Struthio camelus: one gene and its partner. The protein of the gene in region 1 purifies or fractionates together with the protein of each later gene. This does not show direct contact. Links are inferred from orthologs where the notes say so. Each region holds a gene or a part of one and is shown on either strand. Other genes may lie near its edges.

Region 1 (7,271 bases):
TACATACAACAGTATCTCTAAGATTTTTTTCATGTTTCCGTATATACTGCTTTTTCCTGTGCAACTTACTACTCCTATCTGTATTATTCCATCACCATTTATCTAGTATCGCCTCCAAAAGGAGCACTTAATCAAGCCACACATATTTCTTATATTACAATGAATCTCTCTCTCTCATGTTTTTTCCCTCAACTCCTGCCATTTGCCAATATCCTTACAGTAGCACACTATCTAGAATTCTCTTTTCAGTCAATTGCAGGGCATAACTACCTTTACATGATAATATTTTAATTATGTGGAACTGCCAAATAACTCTTCTTCCTAGCCCCAGACATTCTGCTTGTTTCTGCATCCTTCCGTAAAGTACAGTATTTATAGTGACTCTGTCAGAAAATCAGTGTCCTCACTGAGGAGGGACTGTTTTCTGATGCAACTGTTCTATATTTCTGAGGTGGTGCTTCTCCTGTAATCACTTACAAAATCTGCAGTCAAAGATATGAAAGGTAAACATCATGTAGGAGACGTAAAGCAAAGTTAATCAAAACATTAGAGAGAAAAAAATTGTGTTACAGTTTTAGAACTTATTTTGTTGCTGTTTATAACCCAATGAAGTTACATACATAGAAAGTGATGGGGTGGGGGGGGGGGGGGCTGGAGAACTGTGCAGGCAACTTTAAAAAAAAAACTCCATTTAGCATTAAAAGTGAGCACATAAACACAATCCTGAAGAACTTCTTAATCATCTAATCCCATTATCATACACTTAAGAGACATCATCCAATAACAAATCCACCATTCTAATTTATGTGGGATTAATTTCAAGGCCCTTTCTACAGCATCTGGATCATACAACAAGGGACTCTGAAAATGATTTCAGTAAGGCACTGCAATGTCCATTTCCTTAGAAAGGAATATTTTGATCACCAAGAAGCATTCTTCACAGCTCTAGACGTATAAAACAAAAGTACTAGAAAATGGGAAACAGAGAGGAAGAATTCCCTCTTCGCTGTCACGAAGCCAACAGTACCAGCTGCAATACATGACAAAGTAGCTAAGTCAGAATCTTCCAGGCCTACGCTTCTCATAAGGACAGCAACTTTCCCAGACATCCTTTACCAAAGAAGAAAGCGCACACCTGAACTACCTGCTTTGTTATTTTCTTGCCTCACTCTCCTGTTATCTGCTATCTTACTACAGATTATCCTTCACTTCTTCCCCTCTGCTCTCCAGCTACTGCAGTACTGTCACCCCTGCACTTCTCGCTGTGCATCTTCTTTCCTGTTCACCTCCCTTCTTGCATTCCTAATCTTCCCATAATATCAGATTTTTCATAGTATCATAATTTTTCATAAAATCCAACAAAACGTCAACACATCAGGGGCCTGCAAAAATCCTAGCTGTATTTCATGTTCCTCTGCTTTCCTTCCTGACTCAGGATTCCAGTATAATTCACCACGACTTGTTTAGCTGTTAACGCAATGTCGTTTATAATCCAATGAACCCAACCTTGCTTGGGTTGCATAAAGAACCTCTCATTACACTGTATGTAACACTGAGAATAGTAGCACATAGTGATTTATACAAACGACTTTCAGCCTTCATCCCAGGATTAGAAAAAAAAAAAAGTTCAAAAATATCCAGTTTTAAGAGACCCCTCCAGTTCTATTCCACTTGGGATTCAAGTTTCGAGCGTTTTTGAACTGCCATTCCTAAAATAAGGGCTTCAGCAGCGTATTTCGGGAAGACACCACACTATCCAAGTGCTTTTTTTTTTTTTTTAACGTCTACAATCACGATGTCACAAGGTTTCCACAGGCACGGTGGAAACCTCCAGACTACAGCCACCACCCCCTCCGCTCGCAGTAGAGAAGCGGCAAGTCACAGCAACGCAAAGCTGCCACATGGCACAAAACCCATCCCGCTCCATTAAACATCGCCAAACCCGATTCGGGTCCGCTACTTCGGCCGCCCTGGCACCCCTCGGCCGCCCACCAGCATCACGGCGGTACGTGGGAGCCGTCCCAGCCAGCTCGAGCAGTTCCCCTGGGTTAACTCGCTCAGGAGGCACGAAAGGACGGCACCGGAGCGGGCCGGGCGGACAGCCGGGGGCGCCCAGCAGGTCCCCGCCATGGCGCCGGGGAGGGGACAGCCAAGGGCTGCAAAGGAGGAGAACAAGCACTCCGGCTCCCGACGGGAGGGCGGGAAGATGAGCTACCAGAGCAGCACACCAGGAGGAGCGAGTGAGCAGGGGGCTGGGGGGGGGGGGGGGGGGGAGCCTAGAGTAGCAGAAAGGAAACAGCCAGAAGGGGGTCAGAGATAGGGGAAAGGGGGGGGGGGGGGGGAAGGAGAGAGACAGGCCGTAACAGCAGGGATAAATAAATAAGTAATAATAAAAAAAAAAAAAGACGCTCGGGAAAGGGAGCGGAAGAGAGCAGCAGCAGCGCCCACCCCCTGCCTGCAGCCGTAAACAAGGCCAGCGGCGGGGGGTGGGGGGGGGGCGGCAGCGGCCCCGCGGGCTCCCCGTGACGGGGGGGGGGGGGGGGGGGGAGCAGCACCGGCCCGGGCCGGGCAGGAAGGCCGGAGGCGAGGCGGCGGGGGCCGCCCGGGCGCCGGACGGGAAGGTCGCTCACCCAGCAGCCGCAGCAGCACGCCCAGCAACGCGGCGCTCAAGGAGCCCCCCGGCAGCGGGGACGAGTTGAAGATGGCGTCGATGAGGAACAGGCTGGGCACCCGCAGCGCGACCTCCAGCCCGGCCCGCAGCCGCGGGCCCAGCCGCAGCCACGGCAGCTGCGGAGGGCCCGGCGCCGCCATCCCCTTGCGCGGGGCGGGGAGGAGGGGGGGGGGGGAAGGCGGCTTGCGCCTCCCGCCTTTCACAAGCGGCGCCTGGGGAAGGGAAAACCCGGCGGAGCCGCTACCGCCTCGCTCCCGCCGCTCGGCCCGGCCAGGCCCCCCGCAGCGCCGCCGCCTCCATCTTCCCTCTCCGCTCCCTCAGCAGGTTCGGCCCGAGCCGGGCCGGGGGGCGGGGCGGGGCGGGGGAGAAGGGCGGGGCCGCGCGCGCCCGCGCGTCACAAAGCGCGGCCCCGCCCCCGGCTTCCACGCGGGCGGGAGGGGGCGGTGGGCGCTGCGTTCGCTCCCCCCCCCCTCCCCCCCTCCCCCGTCCCTTCCCGCGCGGCCGCCGCAACCGCCGCCGCAACCGCCGCCGCGTGCGCCCCGTCAGGGAGCTCCCGCGGCTGGCGGCCGCCCGCTCCGCGCGCTCCCTCCGGCGGCCTGAGCTGGCCGCAGGCCTGCCGCTCGGGTAAACCCCGCTCCCACAGGGGAGCCCTCGGCAGCTGCTCTCTTGCCGCTCTGAACGCTGCCCCAGCCTCGATCCTAAAAGCGTTCACGCTGCTAATCCCCGGGTGGCAGACGTCAAAGCTCTCCCTGTCCCTTCCGCTTCCTACCCGCCTCCCGAGGGAGCCGCTCTGCGCACGTCCCACCGCAGGGTGTCTGCCCTCGGGCGCTGCACGGCCGTTTCAGACGCACCCGCGTCGTCTGGGCAGCGTTTCAGGTACAGGCGGCGTGGACGCCTAGCGCCCTGCGAGGCCAGCGCCAGCCCGGCTCCGCTCTCCCGGTTGCCGACCCCCCAGAAAACACTCTGTCCCTGCGCAAAACACAGCACGTGTCGTCACGTGGAGGACGAGCCAGGATTCATTCCTCGCATTTGCGAAAACACTGCTTCAAAACAAAGAAACCTTTTCAAACAAGAACACGTGTTGGTGCTGTGGTGGCCGTGAACCTCTGCCAGCCCCCGAGCAGGCTGCCTGAGACACAGTCCTGCCGGCCTGACGTCTGCAGCAAGCCGGCAATTTTTGTTTTCGCGACAGAAATCTGTAATTTGCTCTCTAAGCCTTTGCGCGCACCGTCTTTCTTTGTAAAATTTCCCCGCGTCTGCGTTTTCGCCTTCTTGCCAATGTTTAGGTGTAGTCAGCCTTAACGTAATCGTTTCCTGGCTTTTAAGTGAGTAATTCACCTTGGAAAAAATAAAGATCTTTTAATTAGGGAATGATTACGTAGAATTTCCTGTTTTTTCACATGTGATACAAAGCCCTGTCTTATTCTAAGCATAAGCATATATCTAGATCATATGGAAAAAAAGGCATTTTTCTTTGAAACCGTGTCTCCTTCCCCATGCATCCTCACGGAAGTACAGCTTATACCGTACCTTAACTTTCGGAAGCCTCAAGCTGACTTGATTTAAATAAATTTAATAAAAAAAAAGTAATGTAAGTGCAAATGTGTAATCAATATTAATCCCTTTGGGGAAAAAAAAGTGGCATTTTCCAATGAGTTTTGTGAATTAAAAGCAGTTTTCAGACGGCAATTGAAATCGGCTTGTATGCTTTTTGGCGTCTGCCGCCGTGTGATTTGTTGCAAATGTCTACTTTTACCTTCACCTGTCATAGCTCGGCCTTTTCACACGTCTGACTGCCTCATGGCTTAAGCCCTTAGAAGTCTTTCTATTATTTTCAAAGGATTTTGAATCAGGCCCAGCCGTGTGGCGCATGCACTTTTCTAAGCAGTGCGCCACACTAACAAAACCAGAGACGTTACCAAATTGCTACAGGATCGTATTACAAAATCCAGCTACATGGACAAAGTGCATTTTTTAATCACTATCTAAAAGGCATGACTCTGACCTAGTAACTATCCCAATGCCAAATAGTAGTTGGAGGTTAGAGGTTTAAAATGCAGAGTGCATGTTTCTTTATGTTGCTTCTGCTTGAAGGTGGCTGAATCACAGTGATTCAACCTTTCCTGAGTAAATTTACACCTTAGCTAAGTATAAAGCTGCTAAATATTAATAAAAACATTTGATTTGCGTTGAAAAGCAATGTAAATCAAGTGGATCTGTGATGTTTGCTTGATAATTCAGCATAATCCATATGAAAATTCATTTCTGTGAGGTGCAGTTTCAAAAAGTCAGCAACTTAAAGCACTTGTCTGCGGAAGTGGAATTACGTGCCCTCCTGCAGCACTTCCAACCTCGCTTAAGATCTCCGTGAGTAAAGAGGAGCTTGCATCTATTTTTGCAATACAGGCCTCAGAATCAAAGGCAATGTTGTAGTATATATTTATACGGCGTTAAGGACATACGAATTAAATCGAATCCGTTAAATGGATTTTCAGGTTTAAATATGTGCATTTACAGGCATATCTTACACATGTTATTGAGGCGTGTAAGTACAGTCCTGGCTATGTGTAAATTATTTGGTGCATAAACATTTCCAGATTACAAGTGTTTCAGAAATCCTAGTGTTACTAAAGTGTATCAGATCAAATTCATACGTTTTACATGCTCTTCTGAAAACATGTTCCAGTGTTTAAGACTCCTGCTGTGAATTTAAATTCTAAATAAAAAAATTCTAAACTTGATTATCATATATACAATATGAATGAAGGTGACACCTGCTGGGTACTTGTAATTTTGCAGTTTGCGCTACTGAAAGCTTTAAATGTGCAATAATGAACCAAATCCAACGTTGTTACACAAGCATAACTATTAAATTCACTTCAATTATATATACACATCCAAGAAAATTTGTCAATTTTTTTTTTGGGGGGGGTTAAATCCAGTCTCAAATTCTTTCTAATGTATATTATAAGGTTAGATCCTATTCTGTGTAAATTCATATTAATACTCCTAGGAAAAAAAAGTGTTCTTATACGGTTGGGGACTTATGCAATTTCTTGTTGATAAGCTAACGTATAATTTAGGCATAAAATTCCTTTATTTGTCTATATAGATAAATTCTCAGGGGCAAAGGGTTCTGAACTCCAAAGTGAAGCTTGCTCCACATGTCACTTGTGGCTGCACGTACCTGACTTTTACAAAGTGTCAAGTGTCAAGCCTAAATCCCTTGACAAGATAGCACAAAAGAACGTGATTGTTTACTTGATAATGCATAAGAACGTAAACCTAGAAAGTGCTTTCTGAAGAACTAAATACACCTCTTTTTGCAGGCAAGGAGTCGTAAAATTCCCGATCAATTTATTTGAATAATGAATAAAAGTCACTGTAATTGTTTGATGTTTTCTACAGCGTGTAGCAGAAGGTTGGGCTTTTATTCTCTGTTATTTAAAATGATTTATGTGTTTTCTCACAGCTCAGAGTGGTCAAAATACAGTTTTTCAAAAGCTATTAAAAATCCCGAATTTGAGATATTTGGAGCAAGATGAACTGCATAAATACAGATTATCAAGTGCAGCCTCTGATTAACCTCTTTGAATTACAGCTAGTTTAATAACATACTGAAATAACCCTTGTTATCCTATGGAATGGTAGAAATGCATCCTTTTTATACCTGTCTGCCAAAGGAATGTTTGGGGTCTGTGTCCGTATGTGTTGGCCACATCTACAGCTGCTCCTTGGCAAAACAACTTTTGAGCTGTTAAAACTCCTCCTCTCGCTTAAGCCTTCTCACGAGCCCTTCACGGCAACAACTTTACTGAATTAAAGCCAATGCTTACATCAGATATTGCAAAATCACATGGTCTTGCAAAAAGCATATTTTTTAAGGAAAGAGGACAACAATGCAGGGAAGGTCTTAGAATACTGTTGCTGTTTCTAGCTACATGACCTGCGAAGCTTTAAATATATCCAGTGTCTTTTCCACGACACATACACTTAGCCTGATGCAAAGATAGTAAGTTTTGCAAGAACTGTAATAGTTGGATGCTAAGAAAAGCTCAGTTCAAAATGTGCGTGTCAAAAATCACAAGTTTTCATTTGCCATGAATGTAACAACCCATTAACTTTTCCCAAATTTTATTTCTCCTTCCCAAATTTCTTTTGCAATGAACTATCTGAAGTGTAAGAAGAAAGCTCTGTATAGTATGTCATTCCTTTTTTCACAGCAGTTTTTAATTAAAATGAATAAGGCCATCTGTATCCTGGACCGAACCAAAAAAACAAGCATCGTGCAAGGAACCTAAAGCGGACAACAATAATTTCTATGCCTAGGATGATATTCTAGCATAAGAGAGATTCATGTGCATGATTTTTTTAAAAAAGCCAAGTGTCAGTGCTTTATTAATGTAAGCTTTGCTGGATTCAGTGTGTGGGTGACACCCAGCTGTGTCTTGGTAAAATTAGCTCATAACCACCTGTAGAGGACAGCTTATGTCATCAGTTCTGCTTGTGTGAATTCAGTGTTCACAGGCTTGTAAAGATGTGTGCTACTGATAAGATCGAAATATCAACAGCAGATAGATACTTTCCTAAAGCTGAACCT
Region 2 (7,383 bases), about 150 Mb from region 1:
TGTATATCTCAATGCGATACGCTTAGGATCTGGTTTTCAGGCCTGCTGAGCCATCGCTGCTCTTGCTGACTTTATCTGGAGTGTGAGTGCAAAGACAACATCAATTCTTCTCACACTGAGTAGCCTTTCGCTACCTATACTATACGCTATTATATTTAACTCTCACGGATTTTTGTCCCAGGTAACCTGCTGATTTAGGTTTTCTGCTCAAATCATTACTATTCAACACAAAACCAACACTTTTACACAACAGCTGAGTGCATCTCTCTTGTTAATATATTCAGTTTTTTAATCTGTGTGCTGTCTACACCTAATAACACAAATTACACTGTTACACTCACAGTTGTATCGGATATTATAGCATGCCTACTCCTGCCTACTCCTCCCCCAACCCAAAATCTAATTATTAAATGGACTATGGTGCTCTCAAACTTCTGTAAAACTTCCAACACAATACTTTATGTCCCTCTATGTCTCGGCCAGTAGCACCATCCTTACCTTTGTAAGACCCCAAAACATAGATGGAAGAGACTGTTTCATGACAATGAAACACTAAGCACAGCAACTAACAGTATAAATGCGTTCAAGGATACAGCACTTGCATGATTAATACCAACGAAAACTGCTATGCATCGCATTACACTGGCCCACTCTCTCTTGAACTTGTGCGGTTCTCCAAGGTGGCTGTCAATGCAGGGATACAGCAGGCCAACAACAGCTGCAACGGAATCAATTAAGAGTACTAGTATTAGCCATTACACAATGATCATTCCAATGCTGCTAAATATTAGCTTGGCAAATAAGTGATTGACAAAGCCACCTAAGTAGTCAAGAGCCCATCATGCTACTGTAAGGCAGATGAAGTCAGTTATTAACACCCTCCCCAAACACCCCCCCTCCCTTTTTTTTTTTTTTGGAAAAAGACGTTTTAAAGTAACATTCTTCTTGAACCTGTAAAACAGTTATGCTGCAAGATTAAGGTACATGTGCAGAACAGCAAGTTTTACAAACTTGATTCATTAGCTGTCAACCAGTCCCTGAAGTAACGTTTGCTGGACTTAAAAGTTTCTTGGCAGGAGTTGCTTTCTTTCCTTCTACAGGATCATGAGGCTAACCTCTTCAAATCAACTGCGTTTTGATATCAAATAGAGGCTGGACAGAATTTAAGGAAGTGACTGCTAGCAGTCATTCATGCCAGTGAAAAAAAATTACTCATTATTAAGCAGAGGAAGTTTTGCCCTAACAGAGCATTTTCTCAGTCTGCAAACAAGGTTATAAGAAAAAAAGGTTAGCATGATCTTGCTACTAGCACAAACACTAGGTGAGTTTTACTCTTCTAAGGCTTGCAATTCCTTACAAGGTCACAAGCCCCAGGTTTAGACATGCTACTTTAACTATAGTATATTTGCTTGTTTCCTTACCCTATTTTTTCCCTTAACTTCTAAAAGGAACGATTTTATGTGAAGAACACTACAAGACACATCATTCTATGAAAAAGTACAAGTGACTGGATTACGAGGAGTTTTCATTTTCTCATGCCAGTTGCCAGGATTGTCGAGCAGGATTTTTACCTTACGGTAACAACTAAATGACAAAGTTTTACTCCTGTTGGAACAGGATCATTGGAACTCTCACTAGAGCCCATTTTACGGCAATCTCTTTTCACTACATGAGTTATCATTCCTTTTAGCAAAAGATTATTCATTTCCACTTTCTTACTACAAGCAGCACAAGACAATACTTGCACTGCCACTGACATATTTATTCCCTTAACCCTTCGCTAAAGTAGTACATGCATACGAGACGTTTGATAAAAATCAGGATTCTGATTTTAACACTAGTCAATCAGATAAACGCCCGCTGCTGTTTCGATTACAGCACACAAAGGCCTCTCATTTCCACCGGGTGTTTTGCGCCGTGGCTCTGCGTGCACCCGCGGGCGCTGGCAGCGGCGGTGCCCCGCGGAGGGGGGGGGGGGGCGCGGGACCCAGCGCCCCCGCACTGCTCCCAGCCCGCCACCGCACGTGACTTCCTTGTTTTCGGCCCGTGGCATGTTGGCCGCGCCAGCCAATGGGGAGAGCCCGCGGCGACTCACCAGTTCCGGTGGGAGCCAATCAGAGCGCGAGTAGAGGTGACGCGCACCGCGGCCGCTGCGCCGGCTCCGAGCGGCCCGGCCGGGCCCGGCGGTGGCGGCGGGGGAGAGGGAGCCGGGGCTGCGGCGGAGGGCGCACAGCCGCCGCCTTTTTTTGCAGCAGGCCGAGGTTTACATACACGCCTTCTGCTGGCCCCGCATTACTGGGTGGGGGTACACGTGCTGCTTCATGCTTCAAAATTACAGCGCACTTCCCCAAAAAAGAGATGCGCTTCAGGTGTATTACTGAACTCAACTAAGATCAGAAAACGTGCAGACAAGTATAAAAGGTGTGTTGGTTCCTGGATAAAGCTGGAATCAATCTAGGTCCAAAAAAACCAGAATTTACATCACTTACATTCTACACACCAAATGCTGTAAGCGCAACGCTCCAACACACACAGGCCAAACATTCAGCGCTGCTGCCTTGCCTTCCCACAGGAGGGGAAGGAAAACCGGTCACGAAAGGGACTCACCTGCAGCCGTCCCACAGCAAGGGGGCACCCACCAGGCAGAGGGGAAGATCGTGGAAATGACTTCTTCAGGGAATAGAGTCACATTTCTCTGGATCTGCAGCAAGTTCAGCACCAATGCCATGAAAGCACCAACAACAAAGAGGACCACACTCCTCTGCACAAGGTGTTGACTCAAGTTCAAGGTGCTACTGCTGCTACTGGAATTACTGCTGACACTGGAGGTGCTGGGGCTCCGTGCTCCATGACCCACCAAAGCCAGCGAGGAGTTTGAGACAGAGGAGCTCAGCATCTCGCCCACCTTGGCGGCCAGCCCAGCAGCAGTGTCCCCCAGGTGGTTTTTATGCCTTCCCCTGGCAGCGCAGGAACAGCTCCAGGTGCAGTTCTCTAACCTGGGCATTGGCTTCACCCGGGTCCTGAAACACACGCACAGCGACAGCCTGTTACGACTCCAAAACGACGGGGCGGTTCAAGCCCAAGCCGTTATACAGTGCTGACGTACAGACCAGAAACAAAACAACACGCACTTCTACAACACTAGCCACGTGGAAGCTTTAAAGGCACCGGGCAAACAGCCTTACAAGCCCGACAGACGGCCGCGGAGGGAGGTGCTGAACAGGAAAGTAAGATGCGGGCGGAAGCGGTGCGAGCGGACACAGCAGAGCTGCTGCGGGCTCCGGGGCCGCGCAGGCCGGGGCTGCCCCTGGCACCCCCGCTTCTCCGAGGAGGGGGGGAACCGCTGTCCAGATAACCGGGGTGAACACACAACCGCAGGGACCTCCAGGAGCATCCCCCCCCCCCTCCGGCCAGGATCCCGGCCAGACTCGCCCAGCCCCCTTTCTCCTGAGGGGAATGGAAGCGGTTTCCCCAATTCCGAGGCGTAAAACCATCCTCCCCCCAACCCCACCGCCTTCCCGCCGCTGTCCCTGCCCAAGGAGCGGGTCCCGCGGGCACCCGCGGCCGGGCCTCACCTCGCCTCGCTTCAGGGGGCCGCTCCGTCAGCGGGGAGAAGGGCGGAGGGTGAACGGCCGCCGCTCCTGCCGCCTCCCTCGCCCTCCCGCCCCGCGCTCTCGGCTCGCTGGCCCCGGCCCGCTCCCGGCCTAAGGTTTATAAGCCTCCGGCCCCGGGTGTCACGTTATCCGCCGCCGACCTACCCACAGCCAGAGGCAGAGACGGCCCCGCTGCTCCGCCACCCCCTCCCCTCGGCCGGGCCGGGCCGGGCCGGGCCGGGCTGGGCGGGCGGGGCGGCGGCGGCGGGGGAGGGGCAGGGGCAGAGCGCGGGAGCCGCCACGCCAGCCCGGGCTCCGGCCCCCGGTCGGGTGAGGCGCGACAGCCAATCAGAGCCGGGCGGCTGATATGACGTCGAGGACACACCACCCGCCTTCCTCTCTCTCGCTGTCTGCGCACCAACCACCCCCCCCCCCCGCCCCTCGCTGCCACCGCCGCCAGCTGACGGTGCGGCCAATAGCGGGCGGGGCGGCGGCGGCGGAGGAGGACGCGCGCGTGGCGCGTGGCGCGCGCCGCTTCGGGGCGGGGGAGGGGGCGGACGCACGTGCGCCACGCCCTCAACGGTCGGCGCCAACGGAGCGCGCCGGCCGTTTGTAACGGCTCGCCGGCGGGAGGGGGGGGAAGAGGGAAAGGGGAAGGGGCGCCACGACGACGAGGGTCACCTTGCCGCCTACCGCAGCCGGTGCGAATGGAGCAGGGGCGGCGGCCTCGGCAGCCTGGCCCTCAGGGGCTTGCCAGGCTCGCCAGGATGGGTGATCGCCTCGGGCGATGGCGTTTAGTCAAGGGGGGAAGTCGAAGGCGACTGACTGCCCAGGCTTCTCCAGAAGTTCAAGCGCTCGGCGTTCCTCGCTCGCTTGATCATACAATCACAGCGTTAAGAGGATCATGCCGAACCCAGATAGCTGCGAAAGAGGCCGGCTGGAGAGAGGGCCCATTTGGTCTCGAGCTCTTGACTTTTACCCCTGCACGCTGATAACCTGAACGGTTTACGTCACTGGTGAAATCTGAGTCATGATGCGCCCGGCCTCATAGCGTCGTTAAAATACGGTTAGATACAAGTTCGCCCACTGAATTCTGCGGGGGTCTGGAAACTGATAGGACGGGTGTGCTACGTATATGTTAGAATTTAGCACGACAAGTTGTCTAGGTAGCAGGACTCAGCTGCTAAGTTTTGGTTTAAAATACTGGTTCTCCAGGACACTTTGGAAACTAGCGCTTAGATGCAGGAAGAGTAACTGGATTTGTGGTTCATTTAGATAGCATCACTGGAGCCAGCAGGTCTTTCTTTTTCACAGGAGATGCACTCTATTTATAGTGTGAAAGGATGTAAGACCCAATGGCTTCCCGAGCGATAACACTGAGGATTTAAGCATCTTCATGCGCTTGCTAGCCTTGACCGTGAGGGCAGAATAATGATCCAAGTTCAACTCTGTTGGGTCTCATTGCTGTGTTAAATGGAACAAACGTCGATAAAACATAAGGAAAGAGGTGTGCCCGCTGTATATGGTAAAGAGCAAAATTCGTCTAGGATAAGTTTATCCATTCTCATCGTTTGGTCAGTTCCAGCTAGCATGTAAAGAGTTAGGATAGCTGAACGCACAGAGCAATGTGCCCTTGGGCTGAATATTTGTCTGCTTTGTGATGGAGGAATTGTTAGTGCCGTTGTTTGGAGTGACAGAGGAGTTGAATATTTTGCTCTTAATAATGACTAGCTTGGGAACAGACCAGTTCTGCCTTGCTGACCTTATCATTGGACTGCCATATAACATGTATATCTGTATATGTGGTGTCATAAATGATGAGTTTCTATTGGTGTCTTATCTCCATAGTATGATCGAGTGTTAAAAAAGCTATAGGTTTTAGTCTGATATGTTAAAATTGTTTGCAGTCTTCTGTCAGATTTTTAAGACGTTGTATTGTCTAAGTGTATGTGCTATATAGTTCTTATAGTGTCTTTTAGTTAGTTCAGATGTCTCTGATAATTTGAATTTTGGGTATATTAACTGCATATTCAATTTATTTTTATAGTACAGTTTTTTTTTCCTTCTAACTTCAAGTAAAATAAAATATCACTAGTAGTAACTTTCAGTCTATCCTTTCAAAAATCTCACCCATTTTCCTTCAGTTGTTTCTACAGCAATTATATTGTTGATCAAGACGTTGACTGAAGAGTTATCTTCTGAATAAACACTGCCAGTTTGGTTTAGTTACAGTGAAATGTAACACACCAGAATTCTAGCTTTGTCTCAGGACAACAAAATGCTGTTGTGCCAATTAATATAGAGTTTCCGTTTTTCATCTTGAAAGAATATACCATTTCCTTCTTCCTGCTTCACTAAGCATTCTTATGTCTATGCAAATAGTTTTGTGTCTTAGTTCCATGAGCTACTGACATTGCAATGCAGTATTGCACTTTGCATTACACCATTCATTTCTTCATTTTGTTTTCTGACTCAGTGGGCCTGCATTGGGTCTGTTTAAGTTAACCATTTTCAGAGAAAGCACTCTTAATATATTGTCAGCATTTTATGAGTTCCTCTGCAGACACATTTGATTTGTTTCAGGAAATCACATGCAGACATTACATTTCTCTTCGTGGCAACTGCGTACAAGGTTTGAATTGACACAGGCAATTTATCTGTGTCCCTGGACTGCTAAGCAATACCTTAGGCAACTCTAAATAAGGGCTCAAACTCATTCCCTGGGAAATTTTCCTTCATGTTGAATCACTTTAAGATTTATCAACAGGACTGCAGATCGGAGATAAAATGACCCATCTTCGTAAGAAATGTCTTTTTGGAGTTGGCTTCTGGAAAAGAAATACAATTCATCCTTGCTTGTGCTACATCTCTACTTTATTTGAAAAGATACATTTCTGTATTAAAATTTTTTTCCCCAACTCTTAGTGTCTGGGCAGAGTTCACGTTCCCTCGTGCTGTGTCTACTAGTTTTCTTTCCTGAAACGGCTTCTTAAGCATTTTTTTATCGTGTGTCTTTTTTTCCTTATGGGTATATCTCTCTTGCTTCTTCTTGCAGCATCTTTTTACTACTTATTAGATTTTTTTTTTTCATATTTGTAATAGCATGTGGTAGTGCCCTGCTTTCTTCCAGGCTTATTTCAGATAGCAGAGACCAACTTCTGAGATGGTATAACTTGCTGTAGCTTCACTGAAACCACTAGAAGCAATATGAATCTGTACTAGTTGAGAAATTGGCCCTAACATTTTTTTGTGAAGCTTTATGCTTAAAGGTTAAATGCTTCTTTATGGTTTTGTTGCTTTGGCCTTATATGTAGTTTTCTGAAATTTTTTGCTTACAATAAAGGTTAAATACTTCTTTATGTTTTTGTTGCTTTAAAGGTCATAATGCTTTGCATTTCCTTGTAGAATCCTAAAAAGGGGTAGGCCTCCATATGCTTTGGTTAGTGCATGAAATTTTATACTTTACTGTTATTTCTGGAGAGAAGTGCTCCTGTATCTTTGTAGGATTAATGACAGTTATTTTTGTCTCATTCAGCAGCAAAGACAGCAGATTTCTGTAAGTTCTCAGCATCGTTACTCGTTACATAAATAATTTCACCTTTTTCATGCTTTCTGTACTAAACTGTGACATTTTGAAATCTGACAACATGTTATCTCACCCAGACTATTTCATGGGTCTCTTACTCAGGGAACTAGGTGAGATACTTAGACATTTTATTTTTCTCCCTATTTACACTGGGTCAAAAAAAATGAGTTAGTTGCTGATACAATCTTAGAAGCCAGTGATGGA

What was found. Proteins that work in one complex are often made in the same cells at the same time.
Region 2: the proteins of RNF139 (region 1) and INSIG1 purify together in Homo sapiens (affinity purification with western blotting, with the first as the bait; 3 studies listed by BioGRID). This does not show direct contact. The link is inferred for Struthio camelus from reciprocal best matches to the Homo sapiens genes RNF139 and INSIG1.

Annotation. Positions count from the first base shown.
Region 1 is NC_090943.1:160,679,002-160,686,272, reverse strand, and holds the start of RNF139 (E3 ubiquitin-protein ligase RNF139), read right to left. Parts: upstream 3,015-7,271; 5' UTR 2,972-3,014; coding exon of another isoform or gene 2,963-2,971; 5' UTR 2,812-2,962; coding exon 2,631-2,811; intron 1,978-2,630; exon of another isoform or gene 1-1,977. UniProt on the Homo sapiens protein: E3-ubiquitin ligase; acts as a negative regulator of cell proliferation through mechanisms involving G2/M arrest and cell death.
Region 2 is NC_090943.1:9,905,556-9,912,938, reverse strand, and holds the start of INSIG1 (insulin-induced gene 1 protein), read right to left. Parts: upstream 3,005-7,383; coding exon 2,608-3,004; intron 719-2,607; coding exon 594-718; intron 1-593. UniProt on the Homo sapiens protein: Oxysterol-binding protein that mediates feedback control of cholesterol synthesis by controlling both endoplasmic reticulum to Golgi transport of SCAP and degradation of HMGCR.